Oryzias latipes: one gene and its partners. The protein of the gene in region 1 interacts with the protein of each later gene in a biochemical or structural test. Links are inferred from orthologs where the notes say so. Each region holds a gene or a part of one and is shown in the gene's direction. Other genes may lie near its edges. The genes, in order: smurf1, ube2m, mothers against decapentaplegic homolog 5, rhob and pdlim7.

Region 1 (6,688 bases):
TGTTTGAAACCTAATTCTGTGATTTTCCATTGCTTTTGGAAATAGCTTTTAATCAGAAAACCTGTGATTATTATCTACATTTATTTTAATATCATCCTTTTGATTCCAGACTTTCATTGCATTTTATTTCCTGCAGATTTTAGACGTTTTGTTAGACGAATTTTCTGCCTAAATTCTTGACCTTTTGCCTAAAGTTGTCCACATCTCCTGCACACCTACACCTCAGCAGATGGGTGGAGTTGTGAGGCTTTTCCATGTACTCCTGCATGCCACGAGGCCCTCGTGTTTGACGGCATCCGTGCTTTATTGAAAACAAACCATTGACCTCCTTTCTGCTGAAATGACGTCAGCAAGACTCTAAGAAATTTCCAAAGACAAGCTCTTGAGGCATTTTACAAATGAAACAAAGACATATTTGGGATTATTATGAATCTGAACCTCAAATAACTTTTACAGAAGCAACATGAGACATTTTTATTTAAACTGAGGAGAAGTTAAGGTTTGGAGACTTTAGGCTTCAGATGTTTTCAAATGTCTGGCTGTGCTTTCACTGTCTGACAGAAGCTGTGTTGTTATCTAAAAGCTGCTTTATGTCCAATAGGGGGCTGCAGTGAAGTCTGATTATATCAAGAGAGCAAGTCTTTATCCAATTATTTGCATTTTTGTCTTTTCTTCTTTGCTTTAACACAGTTCATTTGAGTTTTCCGGGTCAGAATCCATTTAAATTAGCAATAAGTTAAAAAAAAAGAAAATGTTTTTGGAAACAAACATATCGTTTTTTTCTTATAACACTTTTCTTTTTCACTTTTGTAAGGATAGTTTGGCAAATGCTTCATAGAAACAGAATTTATCAGCAAAAATTATTTATCACAGGCATTAAAACAAGAAAAATAAATGAAATTAATTGTGAATCTGTTTATAACAAGTTAATATCAGTTACAGCAGGGGGTTGAATATTTACTCCTTTAAAAAATACTTTTCATTTGGATTTTTGCTTCTGTGAGGGAGTGTGAGCTTCTGTAAAGCCTCTGCACGTGTTGGCTGGTAAACTGTGGGTTTGTGTCTGGATGTGTATGTGGCTCGGTTTTGTGGATTTACTGTGGCGTGTAAACAGGCAGTAGACAGGTTCCTTTGTTTCCTCGGCTAATATCAAAAGCGTGTTGCTCACCCTGGTGCTACTAAAGAGCCAAATCCCAGGAACCATAATCCCAGATGCTCTGCTCTCTCAATCTCAAGACACAAGTGCATTGCACATTCCTCACAAACGCAACAAATGCTCAATGCTTCCGATCTGCAAGTTTGCCTGTTGACCTTCTTTTTGTTTGGCTCTTCTCTCAAAACTGTTAAACTCAGATCTAAATGGGCTCTATTCTGAAAAAAGAATGAAAATGGTATATTTTCTTAATCTCCATGTCTTCAATATTAATACAAGTTTTTGTGTAATTTAAGGATTAAAATCATCACTAAATTTGTTTTTTTTCTTAACTGACTAGTGTTAGTCATAACAAAAATTACAACTGTGACTTACCATCCTAGACCCTCAAAGGGATTAAAAAGGTGATTATTTTTAATTAATTCTTAAGTAATACCTGTACATAAACTTTTCCACATTTGGAGTATCTGCTAAATTTCTAACAGTTGTGTTCGTATTTCAATAAAACGTACTTCTTCATAATCAGTTAGGATTTAAAAGGCTTCACGTTGGTGCAAGTGTAAATGTTGGGAAGACAAAAATAGTCAAATATGTTGATCTATACTGTAGCCTTCAAATAAAAAAAAGGGTTTGTGTGAGTGATTTTATAGATGTACACTTTTCTTCAAGCACATCAATTTAAATGCTTCAGTTTAGATAACAGGAATGAAGATTAAAGTTATGGTCCATATGACCCCTAAAGTCTCCTCCCATCCCATGATGAATGTTTTTGGTGATGTTTTTTTTATTTTTCTGTCTCACCTACAAACATGCAGAGAGAAACTCATCACTGGAAAGCTGTTTATAGACATAATATTCATGCTTTCACCCAAAGCTGTACGATCTCCTGCTCTCTAAAAAGAAGGGAATTTAAAAAGTTGTTTTCTAGCTTTTGCTTAAAGTGAACATTTTCAGAGCAACACGGGTAGATCAACTGTTCCTGTGTACATCCATGTTTTTTTATTACAAATATTTTAAATATTAGGATAAATAAATCAACTGAATTAATAGCAGTTAATTGATTATATGTGTTTGTTGAAAACAGTTTACTTGGAAAATGAATTAATGTCTATCTGTGAGGGAAATGTTGATATTAAATTCATTTGTATACTTTTAGGTCACTGTATGAAGGGAAAACCCCTCAAGATCCCTTAGTTCTTGTAGAGTTAAAACTAAATTGCTCTCAAAATATTGAGTAAAGTATTGTTTTTTATCATAGATTGTTTAATTGTTCTTTTCCCCTCTCTCTACTCTCGTGTTTTGTTTAAATAATAATAATAATAATTTATTAATTTTCGGAGAAGATTTGTTTTGAAAATCGTGAGAAATGTTTTGCTGGCGCGCGCACACTTGCTGGAGCGAGCACGTAGCGTCAAGAACATGACGTCAGCCGGCTACGTGCTTGAGCCTGCCTGAAAATGTTCTCCCGTGTTGTTGGATTTAGAAGGAGCGCAGGACTTTGCGGCGGAATTATGTCTTTTTATCCATGAAGAAAACAGCCCTCGTCTTCTTGTAGTGAAGTCTTTGCGGTCCCGCTCTTTCATGAAACTGTGATTTTTCCGGAGGGCTGTCTCCGAGGGGAAGTTTGACTGATCCTTTTTTCTCCCGAAGTGATGTCGAATCCTGGGAGTCGGAGGAACGGGTCCAGCATCAAAATTCGACTGACAGGTAAAAATACAAAGGAAATAATTACATGATGAATTGTTTGCAGTACCAGTTTTGTGGAAAAACTACCACCCCAGTCCACATATCTCTGCTGTGTTATGTGTAAGTAGTCAATCTGTCTCCTTTCGGTGCTTCTTTGCCCAAACATCCGGTTTTCTGTAGCAGGCTCAGCTAACTTGTTAGCAGCCATGCTAACAAAATTACCGTACGAGCAATTCATAAATTGACAGTTTTTGCTCGTTTTACGGCTGAGCGAAGTGAAAACGCCGCAATGACGAGCTGGTGAAACTGCAGCCTTTTACCAAGTCGTTGAAAAACTTAATTAGCTGCTCGGGCTAGTAGGATGCTAGCGCTAGCCTTTACAACACTGCAGTAAATGTTGACCACTCGTAACGCTCGCTAGCTACACCCATATTTGGAGGGTGGACAGACAACCGAGCCCCGTCGCTTCTGCTGAATCCTATGGGCTCTGTTACAAGAATGAGAGCTGACCTGCAGCCTCTCCAGACATTGATTTGTCTGTTAATATGACATGCTACCCTAGATTAACTGCAGCCATCGATCGTCTGGTGTTAGCTAGAGCTACACTCGCTGAACTTCTGCCTCCTCTGAAGTTTGTTCTTGAGGTATCTGAGATCTACTGTCAGGGTTAGAGCCTTCATTTACACTTTTTTTAAATTGATCTTTATAAATATTATTTTAGGCCAAAAAAGCTCCTATCCAGCAGATATTTTTAATATATTTGGTACCTATATAATAAATACAATAAAGACATGAAAAAGATAAGAAAATTAAAGCTCAAGATTGTGTAATCTATGGTTCATTTTAATGTTTTTAACTATGCAAAATTTTTAAGGGGCATTTTTATAATGTATAATGAATCCTTAGTTAAGAATTTATTACTTTTTGTGTGTTAACACACTAACATCACTGACTGGGACCGAATTGATCCTGATTATATTTTGGTTATTAAGGGAAATTATATTTGACAGGCAGCACCAAAGCAATACAATTTTTTCACGTTAAATGTCAAGGCCTTTAGATTTAGACTAAAACCTGACCAGCCTACTGATGGCAAATGTCAATTTATGACTTTATTTATGGATACTTATGTTTAATACAAATTTTAGTTTGAGACTATTGGATATATCTAAATATGTATGTATTATAGTTTGAGAACCACTGTTTTATTCTGTTAAAGACCCACTCCATTCATCTGTTGATCTATTTTCAAAGCATTCCCAGTGGTTTTTTAAATATGATTATGCCCATTTTAGTCAAAATCAAAAAACCTGTCGTTTTCTTTAGAGCTGCAGGGGTTCATTTGACATTTGCCTTTGTGTTGTGCCTAGGACTGTTGGCACAGAGTAAGCTCACCCCCACTTCCCGTCACCCATTTGTTTGCGCGCTCTCCCAGCCCCTTACATCCCCAACCTACCATTACTGGTGCAACAAAAATGGCGAGCAATATTGGAGCTATCCAGCTGTACAGTTTTGAGCCAGATGCCAGCTCAGACGAAGAAAAGAGAGCCATGCATGGATATTGTGGTCTATAAGTGGATTAATCAGAATGGAGCGGAGCAGGGAGACTGTTGCCTATCGACTGTAGCTTCTATGTCACAAGTCCAACCTCTGTCAAACTTTAAATTGTCTCTGACTCATTTTCTTTTCCACTCTATTTTACTCAGAATCAGACAAAACAGACATGTTTGATGGGAATTCTGCAGGGTAACCCTAAACTGGAAATGAACTTTTTTACTAATGTAGCAGAATGCCTGATTCAAAACTAAATAAGCACACACGCAAAACATCGTTGCCTTGTTATTTGAAATTTTATTTTTTATTTGAAGTGGTGCAGAAAAAACATTAGTGGAAATAAAGTGATTGCTGTTCCTGTGGAAGGTTTGCGATTCTCCTGAAGTGACATGGTGGTTTAAGTGGTTAGACACTTGCTGCACGTGTGTATTTCTATATCCTGTGTCTAAAGTCTGCATTCTAAGGGATTAGAGCAGATACATGCTGTCTACTAGAGCAAGTCTCACAAACCTGACCTACTTCTTCCCATAAAGCCTTTATATTTACTCCCCAAGGTGTCACTCATTCAAGCTGAATGTGAAAAAGAAAAGCCAGAATCTTTACAGTTGAGAGGATAGTTACAGTTAAGCTAAAAGTGATACAAAAATCAACAGAACCAAATATTTGTGTTTCACACATAAATTTAAAGTCAGCTTTAGATACAAAGATGGGGATTTTCAGTTAAAAAATGGCACATTGATCTGAGAATTTATGGTTGAATAAACTTCACAGCAATTTTACGATTTTCTTTCATGGAAACAAAACTTCACTTTTTTAGTTTTTGAAGTAAAAATTTCTTGTTTTATCAGCATTTCATTTTGTGGTGCCAATTTAAAACCAACTCTGGTTCACTTTAAGCGAAAAAAATGTGTCCAGTCTGAATACACCCAGAGGTTAAATTGAGTGTCTATTTTGTTGGTCCGTACAGAGTCCGCTTAGTCTGGTCCAGATAAAGTCCTGAACCGTGCATTTGGACTATATCTAGACTGACTTTACCCAGGGACTCATGTTCCGGATCAAAGCTTGGAAACAAAACCATGTGACTAAAGATCTCTTCAGTCATTGGCAAGGAATTACAACGGTGGGGCAAAGCAACGGGAGGCAAAAATGTTGGAAGTCTTGCGCTTCGGAGGCCTTGTCGGGATAGTTCAGTATTCAAACTTTATTTTTCACTGACCAATTTTCCCAGTCTGTGTCAATGTCAGGTAGAACACTTTACTGCTGCTTTGGTGTCTGGTCTGAATACACCCTGAATGGGTTTCAAAACCCCACCAATAAATCGGTCTTCATTATATCAATAAAGCTTATTTATTTTGCATTTACGTGAGTTTGATTGTTTAATTTAAAAGGCGCTTAAAAATAAAAAAAGCTGATTATTTTTATACAACTCTCTACTGGGAGAAAAGTGGCTAAACCATGAGCGATTGTCTTTTTATTTTTTTAAGTTGTTTTGTGATGGAAAAATGAAGAGTGTTTGTGTGCTGGTGAGGCGTTCCCTCCTGATTCCAGCCTAGACTCTGTCAAATGTTGTTTCCCCTGAGTTTGCCCCGCCTACACAGGTATTATAGGAATTTTTATTGGGTAAAGACTGTGCATTAAGCTGGCGGGAGCACTGTGCTGTCAGGCTGACCTGCTCTGTTTATTTTGCCAGACAGCGATTGTTTGGCCTACATCAAAAAGGCCTGTGATTCTGTGGAAGGGACTCGGGCAAGTTTGGGCCACATTTCAGAGACGCTGTTATTGTCTGCTTGCCGCCAAACAAGAATCTGATTGTCAATTCTCTCTCTGTGCCTTTTTACATCAGAAATAGCCTGTAAAGAACTCTGAAGTCTGAGAAACAGATTACAGAACCGCCTTGTGTTTCGTCTGAATGTTTTCAGTCAGCTGATCGTTTGGATGTTTATTAATGAGCAGCGTTGCGTAAGCAGCAGGATGCCTGACAGCCCACGGCCATTTTTACCCATGAACTGCAGTCCCTGAAAACTGCCCGAGATGTTATTGGAAACCTGCATGTGAGAACGCAGACGTCAGCAAAACTGGCCAGAGACTTCCTGCACTGAATTTATAGCCAACTCGCTGTTAGGAAGTACGGAAGATCAATCACACTGGCTCATATAGCATTCATTACCTGCTGTAGTCTAAACACAGCAGATTTCAAAGACAGCTTTTTGCATCTTCCTCTGCAAAAGACCTGCATGTCTGAACTGCAGCTGTAGTAGATTTGGATTGTAGATTATTGTAGATTTTCTGTGATTT
Region 2 (6,430 bases), about 19 Mb from region 1:
ATTCTTCAACATTCTACTCTGATGTTCTCACACGTTCTACTCTGACGTTCTCACACGTTCTCACACGTTCTTCAACATTCTACTCTGACGTTCTCACACGTTGTCACACGTTCTTCAACATTCTACTCTGACGTTCTCACACATTCTTCAACATTCTACTCTGATGTTCTCACACGTTCTCAGACGTTCTTCAACATTCTATTCTGACGTTCTCACACGTTCTTCAACGTTTTACTCTGACATTCTTCAACGTTCTTATCTGACGTTCTCACACATTCTTCAACATTCTTATCTGACGTTCTCACACATTCTTCAACATTCTACTCTGATGTTCTCACACGTTCTACTCTGACGTTCTCACACGTTCTCACACGTTCTTCAACATTCTACTCTGACGTTCTCACACATTCTTCAACATTCTACTCTGATGTTCTCACACGTTCTACTCTGAAGTTCTCACACGTTCTCACACGTTCTTCAACATTCTACTCTGACGTTCTCACACGTTGTCACACGTTCTTCAACATTCTACTCTGACGTTCTCACACATTCTTCAACATTCTACTCTGATGTTCTCACACGTTCTCACACGTTCTTCAACATTCTATTCTGACGTTCTCACACGTTCTTCAACGTTTTACTCTGACATTCTTCAACGTTCTTATCTGACGTTCTCACACATTCTTCAACATTCTTATCTGACGTTCTCACACATTCTTCAACATTCTACTCTGATGTTCTCACACGTTCTACTCTGACGTTCTCACACGTTCTCACACGTTCTTCAACATTCTACTCTGACGTTCTCACACATTCTACTCTGACGTTCTCACACGTTCTCACACGTTCTTCAACATTCTACTCTGACGTTCTTCAACATTCTACTCTGACGTTCTTCAACATTCTACTCTGACGTTCTTCAACATTCTACTCTGACGTTCTTCAACGTTCTACTCTGACGTTCTCACTCGTTCCTGACTCACATCCAGTCATCTGGGTTCTTGACTCTGTCTGAATCCTGAAGGGGGACTTCTGGTTCCAGGAAACAAATAGAATTCATCCTCATCATCCTCATCCTCCTCATCTGTAAACGTCTACAGAGTTTAACCTACAGCTGATCTGAAGCCGCTCCTGGAGCTCAGGTGGACCGCTCCGGGGGCTGCAGGTGGACCGTACCACCCAGTCCTCCTGCAGAACCTGAAGAATCAGCAGGTCTGGACCTGAGCTTCTGCCCTGGTCTCAGCTGCAGGCCCAGAAGATTCTGCTGTGGTCTGTGGGTCAGGGACTGCTCACCTGGGGGCGGGGCTTGGTATCATACAGGTGAGCATAAGTGCGCAGATGCAGCGGCTAAAGGCCAACAGTAAGCAGGTCGGTGCGTGAGAGCGCGGACCCCTGCAGCCGTTCTACGCCACTAGTTCTGGTAATCTGCCCATCACGCACCTGTGATGACCCTCCGCCCCCACCCCTCACTTCACCTGATCACGAGGGAAAGGCATGCTAATGCGCTAGCAGGTTAGCAGGCTGTCTGCCCCCCCGCGGCTGCTCCCCCTGGTACCGGGTGCAGAAGCCCCGGAGGGACCGGGACAGATGGACCCCCCCTCCCTCTCCCTCAAACACACACGCACGCACGCACGCACGCGAACGGTCTCTCACCTGTTCGTTGGGGCGCGCATGCTCGTCTGTGGCTCATCAGAATGGACGGTAGCCTCGTTAGCTCCGGTTAGCCCCGTTAGCTCCGCCGCTTCCTTATCACACCCCCCCGCACACCTCTCTGCCGCGGCGGCCCCGGAGCCCTCACGCGCGACCCATCCTCCCCGCCTCAGAGACGCACGCGGGACCCAAACATCGATCTGAAACTGATCGATATCGATCAGGTGATCAGGCCTCGGATGGATGCGCGTGCACTCCGCCTCTCTCTCTGCAGCGTGGATCTATCTCTCTCTACCCGCAGCTTACGCCTTCTTCTCCGCGTGTCCTTCCCCGCAATCACGCAGGCGCCGCTCCTTTCGCTCCCGCACAAACCCCCGCAGCCAGGAGCCGCTGGCGTGAGCGCTGTGCGCGGCTATTGTTCTCGCGCCTAGTGTTGGCGTGAGAAGCGTGATCCGGAGCCCGCGCGCCGCCCTGACACGTTTAACCTCCGCACTGATTACATCACGCAGGTGACCGCACACGCCGCCTCAGAGTGGGAGGGAGACGCAACAGCAAAATAAATAAATAAATGAAGTAAATAAAAATGGGGAGCGACAGCATGTACGCCCCACCTCTGTTGGTGACGTCACAACAGGGAAGTGGGTGGAAAAGGGCATTATGGGAAATATCAATTCACTGTTGCACGAATTTAACAGCAATAAAACTGTCCATTTACTATTTCCGAGCACGCACCCCCTAAACGCACGCGCACAGAGAAATGAGTACTTCAGGATCCCAGAAAAAAGGAAACATACAATTAAAAAAAAGTAATTTTTGAAACAGAAAAATGTTACCCAGAGAATAAAATGACTATTATTAAAGTAATAAACGCAAAATGTCAAAAGTACAATTAATACCAAAGTATGCAAAGTTTTTGTTGTTACTGTTTTTGTTATTTTTATTTATATTTGTAAAAATTCCATCGTTTTAAATTAAAGCTCGATCCAAATCTGAACAGAAACATTTCAATGTTTTTCAACTTTATTACACTTTTCTCTGTTTACATTTTTTCCAGTGAACTTCTTCACAGCAGGGGGGGGGGGGGGGTCCGTATGACACCCACCCCCACCCCACCCCCCACCCCCGCTAACAGGCTAGGCTAGCAGGCTAGCAGCTGCCGCGTTCAGAGACCCGTTCAGACGCGCCGGCTTCGTCCACGTTCCGGTGCTGTTAGGACCGATCCGAACCTCCGAACAGTCCCAGACGACCTGGAGGGACCGCGCAACCCGAAGGCTCGCTAGCTTGCCCCCCCCCCCTGATCAAAAGGTGAAGATGATTAAGCTGTTTTCTCTAAAGCAGCAGAAGAAAGACGAGGAATCTGCTGGAGGAAACAGAGCCGGAGCCGGGGGGAAGAAAGCCAGCGCGGCCCAGCTCCGAATACAGAAAGGTGGGCTCCTCCTCTGCACCGGCCCGGGACCGCCGCCGGTCCTCCGGGAGGGCCTGCTGCTGTCTGCGCGCTTTCAGGCAGCTCCGGTCCCCGGACGGAGGGAAGTCCGGGCCGGCAGCGGCGACAGTTCCGGCTAACGGCTAGCATGCTAACCTAGCTGCTAGCTGTTAGCCACGGCTAACCTCGAAAACAAAGTGATGAGCAGCTGTGGGGGGGTTAACCCTTGTGCTATCTCAGATGACCCCCCCCCCTCCTTCCATTGAGGTGTTCTCCCTACCATGACAAAGGTGGATAAAGGTGGAAAGATTTCATGTAATCCATGGACACCAGTGAAGATCACAAATCATTGAAGAAAAAAGGTTCAGAGCTCTGTCTAGTGGGTCTAGATGACCCACTGTCTAGTGGGTCTAGATGACCCCACTCCCAATGTTAAAGTGCCTAGGATAGCACAAGGGGTACACGCCTTCCACCGGGGACAGGGGGGCAAATCTGGAGTGAAGTTGGCCAGAACCAAACAGGAGGAGTGGGGGGGGGGGGGGGGGGGGGACTCGGGTGATTTAATTGTCCAATCTGAAATGTCTAAGCAGAGCCTAAATGCAAACATAGTATGATGTCCAGAGCTAGAAGCTATTTCAGGTAGGGTGGGGCTGGCTCCAGGTGCGCCCTCCAGGTGCGCAGGTGCATCCTCCAGGTGCGCAGGTGCACCCTCCAGGTGCGCAGGTGCACCCTCCAGGTGCGCAGGTGCACCCTCCAGGTGCGCAGGTGCACCCTCCAGGTGCGCCCTCCAGGTGCACCCTCCAGGTGCGCCCTCCAGGTGCACCCTCCAGGTGCACCCTCCAGGTGCGCCCTCCAGGTGCACCCTCCAGGTGCGCCCTCCAGGTGCACCCTCCAGGTGCTGTCCTGTGATGAAGAGAAGGATCCTGAACGGCAGGTGTTTGTGTTCCAGACATCAACGAGCTGAACCTGCCAAAGACGTGCGAGATCAGCTTCCCCGACGATGACGACCTACTCAACTTCAGGCTCATCATCTCGCCGGATGAGGTGCGTGTTTGATTCCTAGCAGTGCAGACGTTCACGTTTACACTCGGCTGTGTGTGTGTGGGGGGGGGGGGGGGGGGTCATGTGACCACAGATGGACATCATGTAGCCGAGGTTCCTCGTGTTCCTGCTGGATTCTGGAGCATTTCAAAGAGCAGCAGTTAACCTGGATTTTCAGAATAAAAGCCAGGTATCCTGTTGAACTCCCGGAGGGAATTTCAAACCAAGTGGAAGCAAAAAGAAGGAATTCTTCATGATTGTTCATCATCATGTTCCTCATGAATCCACTCCGTGATTCTTCTCCCCTGAGATGATTGGTCAAAGTCCTGCTGCTGCTTGTGTTCACGTCAGGGACCTCATGTAAAACTTTATTTAAACTGCAGACAGATGACAGACAGAGAGCTAAACCCAGAGTGCGGGCTGTCAGGCGGAACACTCATGTGGCACTGCGGTGCTGGTCGGATCCAGTCGCAGGCAAAACCAGTTTTTGGTAGACGGGTCTCCAGGGGGGCTGGGCGTGTCATGGGTTTGAGCCTTGCCTGTCATACCAGAGTACTCTGATTACTCTGGGGGTGGAGGCTCTGAGCCCATACCATTAGTCCTCCGCCACCATGCTTCATAGATTCCATATTTTGTAGTGCTGCCCTGTAAGTGGCTGCTTCAGCTGTGGCCCCCCCACAGCCATGTCACAACATTGGGGTTTTGAGGCAGAGTGGGGGGCATGGAGGGGGCAGCATCCTGCAGCTAACCTGTGTTTCTGTCTCAGGGTTTCTACAAAGGAGGGAAGTTCGTCTTCAGCTTTAAGGTCAGCAAACGCGTCATTTGGCCCCGCCCCTTCTCTGCTCGCAGACATCATAAGAGTTTGTGTTTCAGGTAGGACAGGGTTACCCCCACGACCCCCCCAAAGTGAAGTGTGAGACGATGGTGTACCACCCCAACATTGACCTGGAAGGAAACGTCTGTCTAAACATCCTCAGGTCAGTTCTTCAGAACCGGAGATCCGAACAGCGAGGGGGGGGGGGGGGGGTTCTGGAGGTTCATGTGTGCTCTTCTGCTCCACAGAGAGGACTGGAAGCCGGTTCTGACGATAAACTCCATCATCTACGGTCTGCAGTATCTCTTTCTAGTAAGACACGTCACATGATCTGGGGGAGGGGGGGGGGTCTGCTGGTCAGCCAATCATACTGCAGGAGGGTCACCCACTGGGCCCCTCCCAACTGGGAAACTCCTGTCAGTGGGCGGGGCGTATTTGGATAAGGGGACGCCTTAGCTGCCCCCCCATTCCGTAGCTAAATCTAGGAGCAATCTGGAAGAGCGGTTCTGCTAGGGAACAGTGGACCCAGTGGGATCAGCCCAACGTAGAGAACCTGGAACCGGTGGAGGCGGGTCTTCTGCCTGCTTTGATTCAGACTCCAGCTGGAACTGGACCAGAAGGTTCTCCACCGTAGAACGGTTAAAGAACCTTCAGGTCCAGAAGCTGGAACTGGACCTGAAGGTTCTTTAACCGTTCTACGGTGGAGAACCTTCAGAAGACTCATCCTGATGGAACAAAGCTCAGAACTCTTTGTGACTCCGGATGTTTCTGGTTTCGGAACCATGAGAGAAGAAGGTTCTAGACTGTATTTGGGTTCAGTCTTCGTCTGAAGCGACTCCCTGGGTTCTCTCAGTTGGACTGGACACCAAACGGAACCGTGCAGCGGCGGTTCTTTTGGTGTCTGGGCCCCTGTGAATCCCTGAGGTGGTCCGAACCCGCGGTTCTGCTGGTGTCACTGACACGACTGACGCTCGACTCCACCCCCCAGGAGCCAAACCCGGAGGACCCCCTGAACAAGGAGGCGGCGGAGGTCCTGCAGACGAACCGGCGGCTCTTTGAGCAGAATGTCCATCGCTCCCTGAGGGGGGGCTATGTGGGCGCCACCTACTTTGAGAGATGTCTGAAATAGCTGGGCGTCCCACCATCTCACCCTCCCCCCACCCGTTTGCTCTTCAGCCCTGCTGGGGGGCCGCAGCAGGAAACAGGAAGTCACACGCAGAAGAAAGAAGCTCCGCCCCCTCCTCTCACATTCTTTTATGTCCAGCTGTTTTTATGGAAGGTGGGGGGGTCAGCCCAACGCTGATGAGGATGAAGATTTGCCGGATTTCTTTTTGTTTTTTTAGGCTGACATTCAGACACGCCCCTTCCCGTTCCCACATTTTCTGTGGTCCATAGGCCAGCAGCAAACTCCAGACCCCCCCCCCCCCCATCCCACCTGGACAGGTTGAGGGGAGAAAGACCCGCCTTAACATTAGGTAGTGGGTCGGGGGGGGGGGTTGGAC
Region 3 (5,984 bases), on another chromosome or scaffold:
AACTGCTGGACAGCTGTGGTCTTGATGGGAGGAATCAGGCAGAGATGAGATGGAGGAGGAAGCGGCTTACATCCTTTCTGACTCCACTAGTTTTTCCAAACTTCCACACAGCTGCGGCTGCACATGTTTGAACTCCATTTGTTTGGTCTGCATACGCTTAGAACAAAATAAGTCGCGCTCTGAACATTGTTTTTGGTGTTTTTAACATGGAGGCCATTTAATAAGTAAATTAGGCTCGGAATAGCCTTTCTGAATATTCTTTTTTTTTTTTTATTCAAATCAGGAATAAGAAGCAGACAAAAAATGCTGTTTGAAAAAGATCTTATTTTTATAAAGAAGATGCACTTAGCGAGTTCCCTGCTCTGCTCCATTCTGATGCATCCACTTGGAGACAAATGGATCCATGTGTACAGGACGTGATCTGTTAGTTTTAATTACACAAAATATTATCTGTCCCTAAGTTTCTTTCCCCCCTGTATTCTGTGTTGGGTTGTGTAGCCGCTCCTTAATGTGTTCTTCTTCGCTGGTTTTCTCTCTTTATAAGTTTGGCGCTTGCTTTCCCTCTCTCCTTTTTGTTTGATTGTCCAGCGGGAGAGGTGGGTGCCCTGTAATGATAGCCATATGAATCCTCGTTTTATGTTAGTTATTGTCCCTTATACTCTTATTATGTGGAATCTGTTATGAAAACACAAAAAACCTTTGTAGATGTTAACTGTTTATTTCAGTATAAGAATTTCCTGTGCTCCCTCTACCTCTCACCTTCACGTAGGAGCTAATACGGGATGCTAACACCGTGGTTTCTATTTTCTTTTTGGAAAATTGTCCGATACGCAATAAACGGAGGTTGTGCTGCTGTGTCCCGACATCTTTTGACTTTCTTAAACACAACGCAGAAATGATCCGGTTACACATGCACGTCTTTGTTTTCCTTGTTTGAGCTGGAACCTGGATCAAAACTGTACGACTGGATAGCTCCAACATTTCTCACCGTTTTAGTTGCACCTGCAATGTTAGGTTGGCAGGCCGTAAGATAGCTGGAGAGTGTGTAAGCAGCTCTCAGTTTTGGGTGATAAGATACTTTTCATTTTCACTTAAAGTTTACTCTTTGAAATGCAACACCTTTCAGATGGTTGAGTCATTCATGTTTCAGCAAGCATGCCTGAACTTCCTTACAACTGATGTAAGATAGAGAAAAGAAGATGGCAGACTTCTCGAATAACCTGTTGATGAAGACAAGTGCTTGTCACATGATTTCAGAACTCATAAACACTGATCTTAGTCCCGATGAAGTTAACCGAAGCAAGAAAAGTTTGTTTTTTTAGCATCCAAATCATCTCAAATATTTTCTGTGTTGCTTTTCCCTAACATCTGCTGTCTCTTTCATTTTGCAGAAAGGTGGTGACTTCATACTGAGCTTCGTTGGATGAACACATCACACAGGAAATATGGTTGTCTTCCTATAAGGCTTTTTTTTCTTTTTCTTTGTCTTTTTTTTTTCTGACACAGGCGTCCTGATGTCAGCCCCTGCAGTTTGAAACTTTTCCCTCGGTTAGTAGTGGTGACCCGACTACGGTCAGCTTGCTGCAGGGCCTTTCCTGAGCAGCAGCAGCTGCGTCCTGCTTGCTGACTCCCATTCCTCCCCTGCTTCCTGTCCTTGGTCAGACAAGGCTAGTCTTCTCACTCCACCCTCATCTCTGTCCACTCATTTGCTTTCTTACACTGCTCGTTTGATTGATCAAGCCTTTGGACTGGTTTTAGGGTACCATCATTTTTTGAATTCTTTTGGACGGACGGAGGGTGACCGTTTACCCCACGCAGCTCTCTGATTTGGGCTAGACTACATTGTGCAACATGTCGTCCATGTCTAGCCTCTTTTCTTTTACAAGCCCAGCAGTCAAACGGCTGCTTGGGTGGAAGCAAGGAGATGAGGAAGAGAAATGGGCAGAAAAGGCTGTGGATGCACTTGTGAAAAAGCTGAAAAAGAAGAAGGGCGCCATGGAAGACCTGGAGAAAGCCCTGAGCTGCCCAGGTCAACCCAGCAAGTGTGTTACCATTCCACGATCCCTGGATGGCCGGCTGCAGGTTTCTCACAGGAAAGGTCTCCCTCACGTTATCTACTGTCGAGTGTGGCGCTGGCCGGACCTTCAGTCCCACCATGAGCTGAAGCCCCTGGACGGGTGCGAGTATCCATTTGGCTCCAAACAGAAGGAGGTCTGCATCAATCCGTACCACTACAATCGCGTGGAAAGCCCTGGTAAGTATCAGTAGATATCATACTTATTGAAATATTTGCACTTTGCTCTTTTAACTGCTTTAAATATGCTTTTTTATTTGTAAATTTTAAACGATAAAACTTTGTCAGATTTCACACATTTCCATTTGAGTTATTCGTGTTTGTTGATGTTAAGGAACCTTTTATGTCAAAAATGTTCCTCTTTTTTTTTTTTTTTTTTAATCTTTGGCATTAAAACCATAAGCGCAATTCTCATATTGGCACACTAACTGATGTCGGGCTGCACACATCCTTCAGAACCTCGAGTTCCAAAGAGCTCGGTAAACAAATCCACAAAGGTCAGGAGGCTGTCCTCACTGGCCCGTTCTACCCGCCTCCTCCATTTCACAGAAAATCAATACCACTAGCTCTAAGAATCTTATTAGATTATATGCCTCAGGCACTCCAGATTGGGTGTGGCATCAAAGTGGCTCAGTAAATGCATAAACCCCTCGGAGTAAACTCCCAGCATGTTCTGTTCACGAACCGTCCTCCCTAGTTTAACGTCCGTCACGTTGGGAGACAAAAAAGGAGGACCCCTTTTGTTGCTTTGAGATGCGTTTCTCTGGTGGCGAATATACTTGTCGGTTTCGTGTATCACTGGCTCCTTTGTTAGATTTTGTTACATCCAGCTCAGAAAGACATTTAGATTGTTTTCAGCAAAGTCACATTATGGTTGGCTAATTAAACATGTGACTGCAGCTTCTACATTAGCCTCAGGGACTGGAAGCGACAATCCTCTGTGAAATTGTTCTTCATTTTTTCTCCCATGTTGGGTGTCTAAATTCAATGCTTTGGTGTGTTAATGGTATATTCCATTATAAAAATGCATTGCTATTTATATTTCTTTGCAAATAATGTAAATAACATTGTGTTAAAAGTTATACATTGTATTAATAATTTATGATGCTTATTTTTATTGGCCTGTTTGTTTGGTTTGCATTGCGTGTGCAGGTAGGAAAGTCCACCTGAACCTTGTTTATGACCAAGAAAGCAAACCTTTTCATTCTTTTTTAAACACCTGGTGCATTTCAGTGACGGTGTAAATGTAAGCAGATAGTTCAAGTGCCAAAGAGTGATTCAAGCCGCTTTGTATTGCTAAGGAAAATCTGGAAAGAACTTGAAAATGCACAAATTACATAAAGACATTAAAATGCCTCTTAGGTAAACACTGTGATGGAACGATGGGAAGTGTATCGAGATTATAAAAGGACAATTAGCTTTATACTTAGTTTTTTTTTTTCTTCCAAACAAACGTCTTTTTTTTTTCTGCAAAAGCACCCCAAAAAGACTTTTTTTTTTGGTGATTCAGTAGTTTTTGAATCAATGCTGTGCATGTACTAGTTCATAATGCAAGGCTACTTTTATGCTCCCCGTATGGCTATTGGGCATCCTGCGCCTCTGTTTTGATGTGTATCAAGTTAGCTGCTTAACACTTGTCCAAAAGTGTGTTTATAAACCTGATGCTCCCGACACTGCCGGGATGAGCTGCTGTCAAAGCTTTTTAGCCTCATCGCCACATGGAAGCCACCGATGATGATGAGAGATCAGTTATCTTAAAGAGCTCTTCATCGTGTCTCCATGTATGGGTTCATGAGGTCATTCAGAGACTCTGCCAGTACGGTGAGGTTCACCATCTACTGCAGGCGCTGTGTCTGCATGACGGCGCTCTCAGCTGTGCTTCCGTCTCTCTGTGACCCAGTCTGACGACTTGCTGTCCCGCGTTACTCTGAGAAAAGAAAAAATAAAAATAAAATAAGAGGAACTTTTTATTATCGTCGCCCTACAAAGAAGAAAAATATCACAAAGTTCAGGAGGAGAACAAACATTTCTCCTCCATGCTGGTTTTGGACTCCACCCACTGATCACGTCAACAGCATGTCACGGGCCAAAGCTGAGTTCCTGATTGGTTGACGCAGAACAAAGTTTTCACCAAAGTTTTGATGTTTAAACTCTGGAAATATGCTGAATTTTCGCCTCCCTGTTCAAAACGTGCTGTCTCTAGAGAATCGCGCTGCAGCTGACGTTCAAAATTCATCGCAAGACTTTTTATTGAGTCCGTATGAAACCGCGACTCGCCCTTGTTGTGAACGCAGCTTTAGTTTGCTTCCGGTCTTTGGTTAACTTAAGTTTGCTTTCTCGCTAAAAAGAACCAGACAGGAATTCATTTGCTAGTAAATTTATAATCTACTAAATTAACCAGAGTTTGCTTGACTTGACAATCAAGTTCAGAAAAAATGTATATATTTTTAAGAGGGTATACATCTTTCATTGGTTTGATTGTTTTATGAGGGGGTTAGCCATTAATAACTACTTATAACAGAAAAGGTCTTTTAGCGATTGTTTGGTATAATGGAAATTTCTTAACATTTAATTTTATTTTTATGATTTTAATGTGTCAAATAAAAATGTCTTTGTCTCCTTTATCTTTCTTTCTACCTTCCAGTGCTGCCTCCTGTCCTTGTACCGCGACACAGCGAGTTCAATCCACAGCACAGTTTGCTTGCACAGTTTCGCAATCTCACCCACAACGAGCCGCACATGCCCCTAAACGCCACCTTTCCGGAGTCCTTTCCACAGCCGCACAACGGGGGTGGCTCCTTTTCCATTTCTCCCAACTCTCCATATCCCCCCTCTCCAGCCAGCTGTGGTACTTACCCAAACTCCCCTGTCAGCTCGGGACCCTCCAGTCCATTCCAACTCCCAGGTACATCACACCCATTCATGTTCCTGACCCTGGGAAACCTGCCAGGCTATTGTTTGACTCAGCTGTCGCTCTAACGTAGACAAGAAAACTTCTGACGAGTGTTGGTCTCAAGTGAGATGATTTTGATTGTGTGATGTGAGGAAGAGGTGTCATTTGCACTCGACTGAAGGAAATTGAACCAGAAAAAAATGGAATTTCTTTGTTGAATCATCATCAATGCAACTAGCCTGGGACCGCGTTAAATTTTTTTAGCAGACTTGGATCGTTGTGCTTTCTTATGGGGTCAAGATGACCATTGACGTGTTATTCCTACCATGACAAAGGTGGAGAGGATTTCTTGTAATCCATGGACACCATTGAAGTTCACAAATCATTGAAGAAAAAAGTTCAGCGCACTGTCTAGTGGGTCTAGATGACCCAACTCCCAATGTTAAAGTGCCTAGGATAGCACAAGGGTTAAAAATGGTTTTTAACCCCTTTTGTAAATTTCTGTCACAGAACTTTGTTTTAGCTTCTTGCTAATCTAATTAGTTCAACAAGTCCAAACCATTACCTGTAAATGAAAACTGGACTGAGTGGCCCCTCCTTCTTTGTGTTTCAAACAGGAAGTACCCAATGGCTTTAAGAGACCCATAGACTTCTACTGAGAAATAAATAGCTATTGCTCCGTCATTCTATTCGTCAGAATGATCATTCTCGCTCAACTACCTTTTTTTTTTTTGCTAATCTAAATTTTTTTTAATGATACTTTTTCTTTAGTGCAAGTTATTCAAAATTTGAAATGCCCAATAAAAGTGGGTGGTGCCTGCTGGCCCCCAAGTCCAATGTTTAAAACGTTTGACAGATTCTCCCGAAGCCGGCTTTCAAGTGGCAGGGGTGTAGACATCCAACAAGCCCACTTCTCGATTGACAAAAGTGGTTACCATAGAAACGTTGGCTCAGACCGCCTTGGACTTTCACTGCTTTCTGATGACGTCTAGCTCCAAAATTTTGACGTCCATGTAA
Region 4 (6,566 bases), on another chromosome or scaffold:
CAACCCTACTTCACATCAAACTACATAGTAGTGCAGCAGTTTGTAATTAAGGCTTATACCTGATCAACATGGTTAGAATCTCCAGTAGGCCAGCGATGTTTACTGATTGTGCAACCAACAAGCTGCTCTCCGGGCTGTCTCTGAAAGAAGTACCCGACTGTGGCATCATCCTGAGATCTCCCGCTCAGCGGAGGTTGGGGTGTACCCGGAGTAAGGTTGGGATTCCTGTCCATGCCTTGTAGGTGCCCAGCACCCCCAACTGTGGTTAGGGGACCTCCAGCATGAACCCTAATGCCCCCGGTCTCAGGAGCGCCATTTGCGTGCAGCACCCCACCCCTCGTCTCCTGCCAGCCCACGTCATTCATACCTAGGATGCTGCATGGAACGCTCATTCCACGGGAAAACCTACACAGACAAAGCATGAAGAAATGCTACATTAATATGAACACATCGACATGCCTAAATATCACCCAAAATCTATTAGCTATGCTTATGTTGTTTTTAGCCAAAAATCAGTAAACCTGTGTCATTTTCTAGGACATAGTTTATGCAGAGCTGCGCAAGTTCATCAGAAATGTGCCTCCTAGTTGTGGAAGGGAATAGTGGCGTGGAGTAAGCCTGCCCCCACTTCCCACCATCCCTCTGTTTACACTCTGTCCTGCTAGCTTGATGTCCTGCATCACCAGAGAAATGACACAGGAGCATGTAAAAAACAAAATTTACACCGGACTCGGTCGTTAACGAGTTTTATTTATTAAAATGTGTTCTGCCAAAGTTATATTGACGTTAAGAGCCTGTTTCATGATGTTTTTAGCTGAAAGGTTAGTTTTTAAATCAAAATAAAATCGAACTTCTAGGTTCATAAGAAAACATCAAAACTATTTGTTGCTTAAAATATAAGTTCTGCTTTATCATGGAAAGCCTACAAGGTGGTTCTAATAAAAGGATTCACTCAGAATTATAAGTATTTTCCACGTAATCACTTCTTCTTAAGCAGCTTAATTACCCAACAGTCATTTCTGCTTTTTGAATTAGTTTTATTTCGATTGCTGGCTTATAGCATTCAAATTTGTCAGTAAAATAACTCCGTAGTTATAGTGTGGTCACGAATAAACTTGTTGGTGCAGCATTAGCATACAATATTAATAAACATATGCAAGCCTAAAAATCACGATGGTAAAGATTTATGGGTAATTTTAACCACGATAACATAAATGTTTTCTCTTACAAAATTGTTATTTTGGTCAAGGCAAAAACTATAAACGATCATTGTTGTATAATTTTGAAAATTAATTTAAACGGCAAAAATTAAGCGTTTAGTGTTGAGACAAATCAAAGAACAAACCGCTTTGCTAAGCTTGCTAGCAAGTCCGGTGCTAATGAGCAAGCTAAGTTAGCAGCAATTAGCAATTTTTTAAAACGAAAAATAAAGATTATTGTTACAGACTCAGTGGCAGTTGTCACGGGTGTGTTAAATTAGCTTTGAATAATCACACTAATTAAACAAAACATGTTCACGCCAAAAGACATCATTTAGAAGCTCGCCTTCGCAACATCCATGGCTAACCGGCTAATGCTAAGGAAAGCGGGCCTGTTGTGTTTGTTTTTGGTTTGTTACAACCAGACGTCAAATTCAGTTTGGGAATTAAACAATCCTAACCAGCAAAGTAGTGGAGATTTTAAATGATTTAGTTTGCAAAATGGCTTGTAATCATTTCTTACTTTTTCCTGACTCTGTCAATCACATTCAAATATGTTCAACAGTTCAAGCAACCCATGTCAGCTAAAATAGAAGCTAATTGCTGTTTTGAGAGCTAAAGCATCAGCCAAACACTCAGCGGCTAAACAACATGGCCCCCCTCAAGTTCCAAATAGAGGGGCCTTTACCGCTAAACAAAAGAGAAAATATTAATCTTGCGGTAACTGCTTCAAGGCGGTCGTCTCGTAGCGCCCGTGTTTGTATTATGAGCACAAAAGGGGGGAAAATACTCACGCCTTTTTGTATCGAGAGAGGATCTGTGCTCGCTGCACACCGTCAACCCTATTCTATATTGTTTTGTTTCCTTGAGTGCGGTGATTTAGCTTCAGCTAAGCGCTGTGCCTTCGCTGGTGCCCCCTCCCTGTAAATAGAGCGAACTACGTGGACACACACGTCTAACAAAGCTAATGTAAATCTATCTTTCCTGTATCATGTGTATCATGTACTCTTCAAACGCATATCAGCTCCTGACGGGTTGAAAAAATTCAAAAACAAACAACTCCGAAACAAAAAAACAAAAACAAAAATCGACCTATTTGTACTTATCTGAAAACTTTATCATCTGTGTATCTGATTTCTATTTACAGGTTTATTCTACAAATTTGAGGCTAATGTATATAAATTAGCTAACATAAAAATAATATTTAAAAAAAGCTATACATGAAGATTAAAAAAAAATCCGTGATTCCGCTTTATTTAACAGATTTTGGTGATTTTAGAAGCCGGTATGGTTCTTCTTGTTTTTGGACACGCCCCTTACTCCATAGGAGCCAATCATCTTTCATCTCCCAAAGTGTGATCTCACCTCCCCATTTCCGATTGGATTGCTATATTTAGGAAAGCGCACAGGCTTTATAAAACCACCCACTGGCCTGTAGATGGTTGGGAGTTTTTTTTTAATTAAGTGTCTGGTTTAACTGGTTAGATTTTGCCCACAAAAACAGGGTCAGCAGCACCAGAAGACAAAGAAGAAGACCGCGTCAGTATCTTTGGATGATTCGCCTGAGGGGGACCTCCTAGGAAAAGGCAGGAATGGCAGACATACGGAAGAAGCTGGTGGTGGTCGGGGATGGCGCATGCGGGAAAACGTGTCTGCTCATTGTGTTTAGCAGGGACGAGTTCCCCGAAGTGTACGTTCCGACTGTGTTTGAGACGTATGTGGCGGACATTGAGGTGGACAACAACAAGCAGGTCCAGCTTGCTTTGTGGGACACGGCCGGACAGGAAGACTACGACCGCCTGCGCCCGCTCTCCTACCCGGACACTGATGTCATCCTCATGTGTTTCTCCGTGGACAGCCCCGACTCGCTGCAAAACATCCCGGAAAAGTGGGTCCCCGAGGTGAAACACTTTTGCCCGAACGTGCCGATTATTCTGGTGGGCAACAAGAAGGACCTGCGCAACGACGAAAACACCAAGAACGAGCTGTCTCGCTTGAAGCTGGAGCCCGTGAAGGCGGAGGACGGACGCGCCATGGCGGCGCGTATCGGCGCCTATGACTATTTGGAGTGCTCTGCCAAAACCAAAGAGGGGATCTGGGAGGTTTTTGAAACGGCAACGCGAGCGGCCTTGCAAAAGCGGAGAACACCCGGAGATGGTTGTTTTAAATGCTGCGTTTTAATGTGAATCATCTGCTATCCATCCGCTGAGGCGTCTGGACACGCGTGGGCCTGATGGTTTGGGCACTCCCCTGCTGGAGTCATACGCCCTTGATTGAGCCACACACTGACTGAATACAAGCAGACTGTATTCCCTCATTTCCCCCCCGAGCACGCATGAATATCAACAAATGTTTGTATTTTTTGTTTTTTGTTCTTTGTGAGTCACATGATCACAGTCTGGCTGGTGGGGGTGAAGAGAAACCTGACCCACTTCCCATGTGGACACGTCCTTGTCGAAGGCCTGCTCCTGGGCCAAAGTTTTTGTTCTTTTTCATTGTTGAGTCTGGATAGGTCACTACAATGTGTAAACTTTCAAAAGACAGAAAAGAAAAAAAATAATAATTTATTACCAGTTTGTGCCATAACATTTTTGTCAACCTGCAGTGTTGGACACTACAACAATTTATAAATATCGGTGCAAATAGTGTTGGGTGAAGTTTTTGCTACATTTTACTAGACAAAAGCTCCAGTTTACAGTTCATAAACCATATTTGTATTACAAAAGTATAGGTTTTTCACATAAAATGAAACAATCTGGGATCATCCCAGAGTTAGAACTTCCCAGCTTGCCTTCCTGAAAATGGTTAACCTTTTAGATCCTTTAAAGTGTTTTTCTTCTCAGTGTCGCACAGTATTTTATACAAGAAGGCTGTTTGGAAATTCTAGCCCTTATGGAACCAGTTGTAAATAGTTGAAGTTCTTTTAAAAAAAATTAAAGTTATGGGATTAAAGAGAGAGCAGGTTGCATGGTTTGACTCTGGGATGCATTTTCTTTTTAAAACACTACAGACATTTTTTAAAGAAAATGTGTTCCTTTGACACAAATAACTTATGGAAGGACATTAGATTCATCACTGTATGTTTTTTATCCAAACTTATTTGCATCCAATTCACAAACTTTGAACAAAAGGCTTCTTGAATGTAAACGTGATCCATTACTGAAGCTGTAAAATACAGTTACTGAATTTGTATTAATTAAGGGCTTTTGCAACTGCAACAACGAATGTACTTTTTCTTGTTAAAGGAAAACTTCATAGGAACAGATGTGTTTTTCTGAAATAAACCTAGCTCTTGTGTGGCTACACAGACGTCTTGTGTAACCACCCCGTTGCATGCTGGTGGGAGTGTTTGCTGAATGGACATCAGTTACTGACACTGTTGCTACACGGCGATCTGTTGTAAAAACCCGGTGGATTTACTGTTCCAGCTGTTCTGTTCGTGGTACATTTCCACAAAGAAAGTATTTTAAATGTGTACATAAAAACAGAAAAAAACCTTAACAATCAATAATGAAGTTACCTTAAGTTAAAACCTTTATATTGAACAAATCTAGGCAGAGTTGGAGTGGTATAAAAGTCACATTCCTGTCTGCCTTCTGTTGCTAGGCTTTGTGCTGACTTACAGGATGGGAATGCTTTGTGCTGGACTTTTTTTATTGTCACAGTGGCCTCACTTGTGCCTCTGATTTACAGTGTTCTGACACTGCTTGCTGCAGGTTGCCTCATCTTTTTTTCAGTAAAACATGGGCAGGACTGTGCCAAATTGTTTGTGTCTTTCTGGTTATTGCCTCGTAATGGTACAGAAAAGGTTTTACGGGGCTTAAGGGAAGAACTGCTACTGCTCTGGAAATGTCAATAAAAACACATTTCACTTTTCATTGCTTTAATTATTTTTTTCCCATAAAAATGAATTTTAAAATACTTTCATAACATATTTATTGGCAAATGCATATGCGTGGATTTTTTTTTCAATTTACTTTCTCAGTAAATATTTACTATTTCTAACATATTCATAAAGAGCTGGGGTGTTGTACTTTTATTTACTTTAAATATGTAATATAAAGTTCTTTGTCTTTTAGTCAGTAATAAGAACATTCCATGAAATATATCAAGACTAATAGATGTTAGTCTTAAAAACTTAAGGACTAACATCTAATGAGCAGACAGTTAATAATAAAAAAATGGAACGTGTCTGAAAAATACTATGAGAAAACTGGCTTTTGTCGCATGTGATAGGTTATACATAGGGTAATCATGGGTATTTATTTTACAATCAGTTATTGCTCAAATGATGTAAGAGCTGCAACTGGAAAATGAGTCATTCTCTCCGAGTCAAGCAGTTGCAAATAGAATGTTTTGGTGTGAATTTCATTGTTAACACACAAACCTGCTGTTTTGTGCACCAACCAGCTTTGTTTAAGGACAAGAAAGATGGTGTGTCACAAGAACTATTTTTAACTTAGACTTCCTAATGACTAATGTCCCTTTGGGAGTGCTATCTAGTTCCATTGTTTTCAGCATATTTTTTAAGAGGCACATTTTTGTGTGTGTGTTTTAGGTGGAACAGCAGAAAATTAATTTAAAATATTAAAAAAAAACGAGTTAGACTTCTGTGCAGTAAAAATTGTATTTATTGAAACCCAGAGAGGTTTTTAAATAGTACAAGGCATAAAGAAAACACATGAGGGTGAAAAGAATTGTTAGTCTGCAGTGACACAATGAACAAAATTACATGGAGTAATGGTACAGAGATAAAAGGATGTACCGTAATTGTCTGTCAATTGCTCAGCTTTTTGGTGCATTTATGGTTGTGTTGTTGGTTGCAAAGAAATTGATTAACACTATGTTGTATTTTTGAGAGTCAAAATCATTTAGTTGAATCTGGCAGCCAATGGTAAGGGAATGTCCACATCTATCTGTCTGTCAGTCACTTTCACATACTTTTTAACATTCTTGGTTGTTTCTTTGAGAGCTCTGATGATGTCGTTGTGGAAAGAATTTAGGCGTTTTACAGACAGATCAATCCAGGACTGGATGTCAGATCTTAGCTGTTCAGTGGAGACGTCCGCCACAATGTTGTAGATTTTATCAGACACAGCTTTAAAATATTCCAAAATGATTCTGTGAATTTCTTTTAGCTGCTGCGCAACATCGGCAAAAATCTGGGAGTTCATTGCATCACTAATCAGATCGCTGAAAAATCTGGAGAGATTCTCTGCACTGAGAGATTTTAGAGACTGAAGAAACCTCTCACTCTGTGCAACTGTGAACTGCACAGATGCATATAATTTTTTCGAAATATCCTCAAGTGAGATGTCTCCAAGTTTCCTCACTGTAATGATTATCTGCTCCTGGATTTGCCTCAAA
Region 5 (5,385 bases), on another chromosome or scaffold:
TTGATGTGCTCTAAGGGGGCGGTACCTGGTGGCGCTGGGTCGCTCTTGGCACCCAGAAGAGTTCACCTGCTCACAGTGTAAGGCGGTCCTGGAGGAGGGCGGCTTCTTTGAAGAGAGAGGCGCCGTCTACTGTACCAAGTGCCACGACAACCGATACGCGCCAAACTGTGCCAAGTGCAAGAAGAAAATCACAGGGGTGAGCGGGCCAAACCTTACCGGAAATCCAGAAATGTCAGCTAAAAACAGAAGAAAACGATCAAATCAAAGGAGCTGGTTTTTAGATCGGATTTTCTTTTGTCAGGAAATCATGCACGCCCTGAAAATGACCTACCACGTGGAGTGCTTCAAATGTGCCGCCTGCAAGGCTCCCATCAGGAACCAGGCCTTCTATATGGAGGAGGGGGAACCCTACTGTGAGAAAGGTGAGGAAGCCTCAGCGCCAAACACAAAAACCTGAAAGTATTGCTCCAGTTCACTTCTGATGTGCTCATTTTGAGTTTGTGTGGTGAATCATTTCGTTGGAATATCTAAAAAAAACAAAACGAAAGAAAATAAATTAATTTCTGTGTTTATTTCAATGATGTATTCCGCCAACGACAATGGTGTTTTGATGTTTTTAACTTGTTCTTGTGGTATTTTTCTAATGATGGACATATATCAAGAATATTAAGCTCAAAATTGCATTTCTGAGTATTTCTCTATTGAAATTGTTGTGAAACAGGAGCAGACCAAAAAATTCAATTTGAAAAAAGAACTTATTTGTGTGACTGATGGATGGATGGATGGATGGATGAACAACTATTAATCCACTAAGGGCAATTCAGTAAAAACAGCTATCCAGCGAGAACAGATCAAAGACATGACAGTAAAACCAGCGTGCGAAACAAAAAATGAATCAAATAAATAAATTTAAAAATACTCTGGGTGGGCCACAAGCACCCTGCTCTGAGCTCTCAGCAAAGAGAAGGGGTAGGGGGGCGGAGTTGCACCGTGTCCCACCTACAACTCAGAGGTGAATCTCTAATGAACTCCTGCCGCTCTGCAGAAACTATGTCCTAGAAAACAACCCTGGTTTCTTGATTTTGGCTAAAAACGGCACCATCGTAATGAAAAGACCACTGGGAACGATTTCACAACAGATCAAAAGATGATTGGCGTGTTTATAACCTTTACTAGAGTGTAACTCTGCAACTTCTTCAGTTTGTGAGTGCTGCTGCTGCTGCTCAGCGTCACTCCTGGATGTCTCCGTTACTTTCTTTTTTTTTAGCTCCAGTTTAGCTCCACACTTCAACTTGTGATTTCTGGCCCCTTATGCTGCATTTTACTCCTAAACTTGACTCCCTATAGCCAGTTTGGACACCCCGGGGGGCTCCTGCTGGGGGCTTTTTCTACTTTACTGCTGATCAGGGAGTTCTTGTCTCACTGTTATTTTTATTTATTTATTTAATTTCCCTGACAGACTTATTCCTGTCGGTGGGGGGTGGGGGGATCACGTGCAGACGAGTCAGAATAATGTGGTTTGTGGAAGCGCAGTTAGAAATGAGTGGAGTAATCACTTTCCTCCCCAGAAACCCGAGTTTGAATGGACAGTTCCATTCCGTCTGTGGCAGGGATACTTGAGCAGTAGAAAAGGAAACTGGCAGAAATTAAAGTGGCTCCAAATCCCAGCGTGCACATTGATTAGTTCCAGCGCACAATGGGAGACCTCTCAGGCCGTGTGAGAGCCCCCCCCCCCCATGATTTCTGCATGTTTCTTGTAAATCTAAGTACAAAGCATCACAGGCCGTCTGTCTTAAATGTTTGATGCAACAGCACTCTGCAGCTGAGAGGATGGGAAGTTTTCCAAACCAAAATAAAGACTTTTATCAGGCTCTTTGTGACAGCTGTGTGAAGCCCGGCTGCAGCGCTGCCGAGGCTTTCTGTCTGGTGAATCGGAGCGCTGCACAGCACAGTCAATCACCGAGTGTGATGTTTTCATCTGCTGTAATGTATTTAGCTGCAGTTTACTCCATGCATCCCTCTGTAGGCAGTTATGAAAGGTGCACGCTCCTCTATTATGCTCTAAATGATTTAGCGGGGCAATGTGTTTCTTACTCAACGCTCAGCCCCTGACGGGTTTTGCTGCTTTATCAGAGGCAGAGGCAGAAACCCCAATCCTCATTTTCTGAATAATGCCTTCAGCTCTGATAAACATTCTGCTGCCTCAGCATCTTGCAGGAATTGTGCCGCTCTCGCTGCCTCTTGAGAAGCTGCGTTATAACCTGACACTTTCCCCAGAGTCCTCGTGATGAAAGAGACTGGCAAATCCAGTCAAGTATTGGGAGCAATTTCCCCCTCCCCTCCTCCTAATCCCCGCATGCTGTGAAGGCACCACTGTTGCTCCAAATATCACACTATCAAATGGCCAATGAGGAGCGGAGCCAGCATTTGGCATCCGCAGCATCTCATCCGCCGTTATTGCTTCCCTTCAATCCCTTAAGTGCTTGTGTGTAGCGTCTTCTCATCTTTAAGGGCGCTAACCTCCAGCTTTTTAAAAAAACATGAAAGGCGAGAGCTCTTGGAGATCCTTTGCGCCGTAACCTCGGCGAGAAGTAAAGTTCTGTTGACATAATTTGGCCTGGTTCTACAGACGTCAAGTCTCCCTGGAATCTGAGTTTCCTCTGTTTCCTCTCCAGACTACGAGAAGATGTTTGGCACCAAATGCCACGGCTGCGACTTCAAGATTGATGCCGGCGATCGTTTCCTGGAGGCCTTAGGCTTCAGCTGGCACGACACGTGCTTCGTCTGTGCTGTAAGTCTGATTGGACCCCTTTTTTTTTTTTGTTTTTAGCCCCAATTTTTCTCCAATCTCAGCAGAACCTGACCCATCTGAGCTCATCTTAGAACCTGGAGCTCTTTCTTCAGTTTGGTTTTTCCTATCTGAGCGTGAAAACAGTCAAAGGAGACGCATGGGTCCGCTCTGGCCCGCACCAAACTGTGCAAATTCCCATTGGCACTGGTGCAGTTTGATATCTCCTCCACCTCGGTTGCTCCATCTGACTCCGTCTGTCTGTCTTCTTTCATCTTTAAAGCTCTGCCAAATCAACCTTGAGGGTAAGACGTTCTACTCGAAGAAGGATAAGCCGCTGTGCAAAAGCCACGCTTTTGCTCCGGTGTGAGAGGAGCCAGCTGCATCTGCAGAAAGAACAACTTCTGCCTCCACCTCCTCTTTACCCCGTTTTGCCCTCTGACACGATCAGCATTGCCAACCACACAGCCACTTCAGCTCAGTCTGTTTTTTTTTTTATATCCTGCAGACTTTATTTTCAGAGGCTTCATTCTGACTTCACATGCTGTCACCTTCTAGGGCTGCTAAAACTCTCCAGATGTCACTTTGTAATTAACATTTTGCTGCTTTACTGGAACTAATCGAGAAATTATTTCAGATCGTCAGCTCTTGATATATATATATATATATATATATATATATATATATATATATATATATATATATATATATATATATATATATATATATATATATAATGCTCAGATTTCATCAATACACTTCTGTACTGAGAGCAGAAAAGCTCCTCCCACAGCGCCTGTAATGCTACTGAACCCGGTTTAGCAGAATATTATCATTGGAATGTTAAACAAAGACTCACATTTTCTCTTTTTTTTCCTCTTTGCTCCTCCCCCTCATGCTCTTGTTCTGATAATAAAGGTCAAAGATCACATGAAACACTAGTTTCATGATGGAATTTATTTCTATGCTTTAATTTTCTGTAGCTTTTATGTTGAAAGTTTCAAATAAAACCCTTTTAGATGCCACACAAACTGAAGAAACTCAATTATTTAAAAACAAAAACATGTTATTTGTGTTTTGACTTGTATACAAATAATTCCCTGTTTTTTTTAATATGTAATTCAAAATGTAATAATGTTCCACATTTGAATCTATCTAATCTAACTGCATGTCATTAATGTTCAGTTATTTCCTAAAAGAAGATTTTAGACTCTTCACTGTTTGGCAGAGATCATGAACTTCACAATTTTCATTTAGTTTTGTTTCCTTCTCTTCACTTTGCACGACTCCTTTAACCTTTCACACGGTTTAATAAACTGGGTTTGTTCGATAAAATACTTCTCGTGTAGGAAAATATTTTTGCAGTTTTTCCACCACATTTAAACATTTTTTTGTTAGTCATTTTTTAAGTTTTTATGGACATTTAAATGAATCATGAGTCCAACGTACACATTGTCCTTTTTTTTTTTACGACTACCCACTAATTATTCATTAAGACTTTAAATCTTCCATTCCAGTTAAAAAAAAATAAAAGAAACAGCTTAGGGGGGAAAAAAAAAAAAAAATAGATGTTTAGCTAAAAAAAAACAAGTAAATTACAAAACGTTAAGTTTGTTTCTAGTTTAAACTACACTTTGTTTTTGTGGTTACAATAGTGTTATACAACCACTGGTAAATTTACAGACTTGGTTTAAACCAACAAATCAAAAACTAGTAAAAAAAAGAATATTTTTATAAACTTAAAGCTTTACAAATCTACCAACTCCCTTTCCAGAATATTCACCCTAACAGCTTCTAAATGTTTGGAAATATTTTCCTTTTCATTTTCCCACTTTTATTCTATATTTAGAGACTGTTGAATATAACATCTGAACTTTAAACATGAATATAAAATACAGAAGTTCTTATAAAATCAAAATAATTAAAGCATCTTAAAATGAAATTTGATATAAATGGAGGTCTTAAGGACAGAATGCGGTGTTCTGTAAGTTTAATAGACTGTTGCTGGAGCTCAGGTTTCTGAGCAGAAGGTGCTTTCATGAAAGCTTCACTATCCCGAAAGGTCAAAGTTCAACAGCTTACATTATAGGAGTTTGATAAATGTGTGTAAGGAAATGATGAATAAACTGCCCCTAAACCTGTGACTAAATACAGAATCTGCATTTTTTTTGGTGAGTCTAATTAAAAACACTTTATAACTTTCCGCCTTGCATATCCTAAACTTCCTGTAATAAAGCTATTTCTATAGAATTTAATATCGACTTTAACAAAAATCACGTTTGGCATCAAAGAGTGTTAGAAGAACCGATCGGAAGAATTACATTTTTCACTTTTGTTCCTTTTTTTGAGGTAGTAGGTTTTGTTTCCTGTTTAGTTGGTTGCATTTTATCCTTTTAACCAGAATTTCTTTTCCTTTTTTTTTTTAACAGTTTGAAGGTAACTTCTGGCTCTTGCGTGAATGCATAAAGTTTTATAAATCCATGAAATTTGTGCAGTAAAGATGTTTTAGCAAATTTTTTTTTTAGCAAAAGTTTCTTTTAACGGACGTCAAAGTGAAATTCCACAAAATGTTTGGTTTAATGTCGACGTTCTTTTTG

The links.
Region 2: the proteins of smurf1 (region 1) and ube2m form a complex in vitro, tested with the Homo sapiens proteins (2 studies listed by BioGRID). The link is inferred for Oryzias latipes from reciprocal best matches to the Homo sapiens genes SMURF1 and UBE2M.
Region 3: of the proteins of smurf1 (region 1) and mothers against decapentaplegic homolog 5, one has a biochemical effect on the other in vitro, tested with the Homo sapiens proteins (3 studies listed by BioGRID, with this or other methods). The link is inferred for Oryzias latipes from reciprocal best matches to the Homo sapiens genes SMURF1 and SMAD5.
Region 4: the proteins of smurf1 (region 1) and rhob form a complex in vitro, tested with the Homo sapiens proteins (2 studies listed by BioGRID and IntAct, with this or other methods). The link is inferred for Oryzias latipes from reciprocal best matches to the Homo sapiens genes SMURF1 and RHOB.
Region 5: the proteins of smurf1 (region 1) and pdlim7 are reported together in a solved structure, tested with the Homo sapiens proteins (2 studies listed by BioGRID, with this or other methods). The link is inferred for Oryzias latipes from reciprocal best matches to the Homo sapiens genes SMURF1 and PDLIM7.

What each region holds. Positions count from the first base shown.
Region 1 is NC_019866.2:19,074,738-19,081,425, forward strand, and holds the start of smurf1 (E3 ubiquitin-protein ligase SMURF1), read left to right. Parts: upstream 1-2,570; 5' UTR 2,571-2,805; coding exon 2,806-2,860; intron 2,861-6,688. UniProt on the Homo sapiens protein: E3 ubiquitin-protein ligase that acts as a negative regulator of BMP signaling pathway. Mediates ubiquitination and degradation of SMAD1 and SMAD5, 2 receptor-regulated SMADs specific for the BMP pathway.
Region 2 is NC_019866.2:193,614-200,043, forward strand, and holds the start of ube2m (NEDD8-conjugating enzyme Ubc12), read left to right. Parts: upstream 1-2,772; 5' UTR 2,773-2,961; coding exon 2,962-3,076; intron 3,077-4,022; coding exon 4,023-4,117; intron 4,118-4,880; coding exon 4,881-4,919; intron 4,920-4,987; coding exon 4,988-5,091; intron 5,092-5,176; coding exon 5,177-5,240; intron 5,241-5,916; coding exon 5,917-6,057; 3' UTR 6,058-6,430.
Region 3 is NC_019868.2:25,747,160-25,753,143, reverse strand, and holds part of mothers against decapentaplegic homolog 5, read left to right. Parts: intron 1-1,391; 5' UTR 1,392-1,851; coding exon 1,852-2,254; intron 2,255-4,718; coding exon 4,719-4,979; intron 4,980-5,984. UniProt on the Homo sapiens protein: Transcriptional regulator that plays a role in various cellular processes including embryonic development, cell differentiation, angiogenesis and tissue homeostasis.
Region 4 is NC_019882.2:6,548,211-6,554,776, forward strand, and holds rhob (rho-related GTP-binding protein RhoB), read left to right. Parts: upstream 1-2,619; 5' UTR 2,620-2,791; coding exon 2,792-3,385; 3' UTR 3,386-5,075; downstream 5,076-6,566. Other genes in the region: pum2 (pumilio homolog 2), read right to left, coding at 60-392; apolipoprotein B-100, read right to left, coding at 6,071-6,566. UniProt on the Homo sapiens protein: Mediates apoptosis in neoplastically transformed cells after DNA damage. Not essential for development but affects cell adhesion and growth factor signaling in transformed cells. Plays a negative role in tumorigenesis as deletion causes tumor formation.
Region 5 is NC_019868.2:19,511,328-19,516,712, reverse strand, and holds the end of pdlim7 (PDZ and LIM domain protein 7), read left to right. Parts: intron 1-15; coding exon 16-196; intron 197-301; coding exon 302-422; intron 423-2,675; coding exon 2,676-2,791; intron 2,792-3,071; coding exon 3,072-3,158; 3' UTR 3,159-4,123; downstream 4,124-5,385. UniProt on the Homo sapiens protein: May function as a scaffold on which the coordinated assembly of proteins can occur. May play a role as an adapter that, via its PDZ domain, localizes LIM-binding proteins to actin filaments of both skeletal muscle and nonmuscle tissues.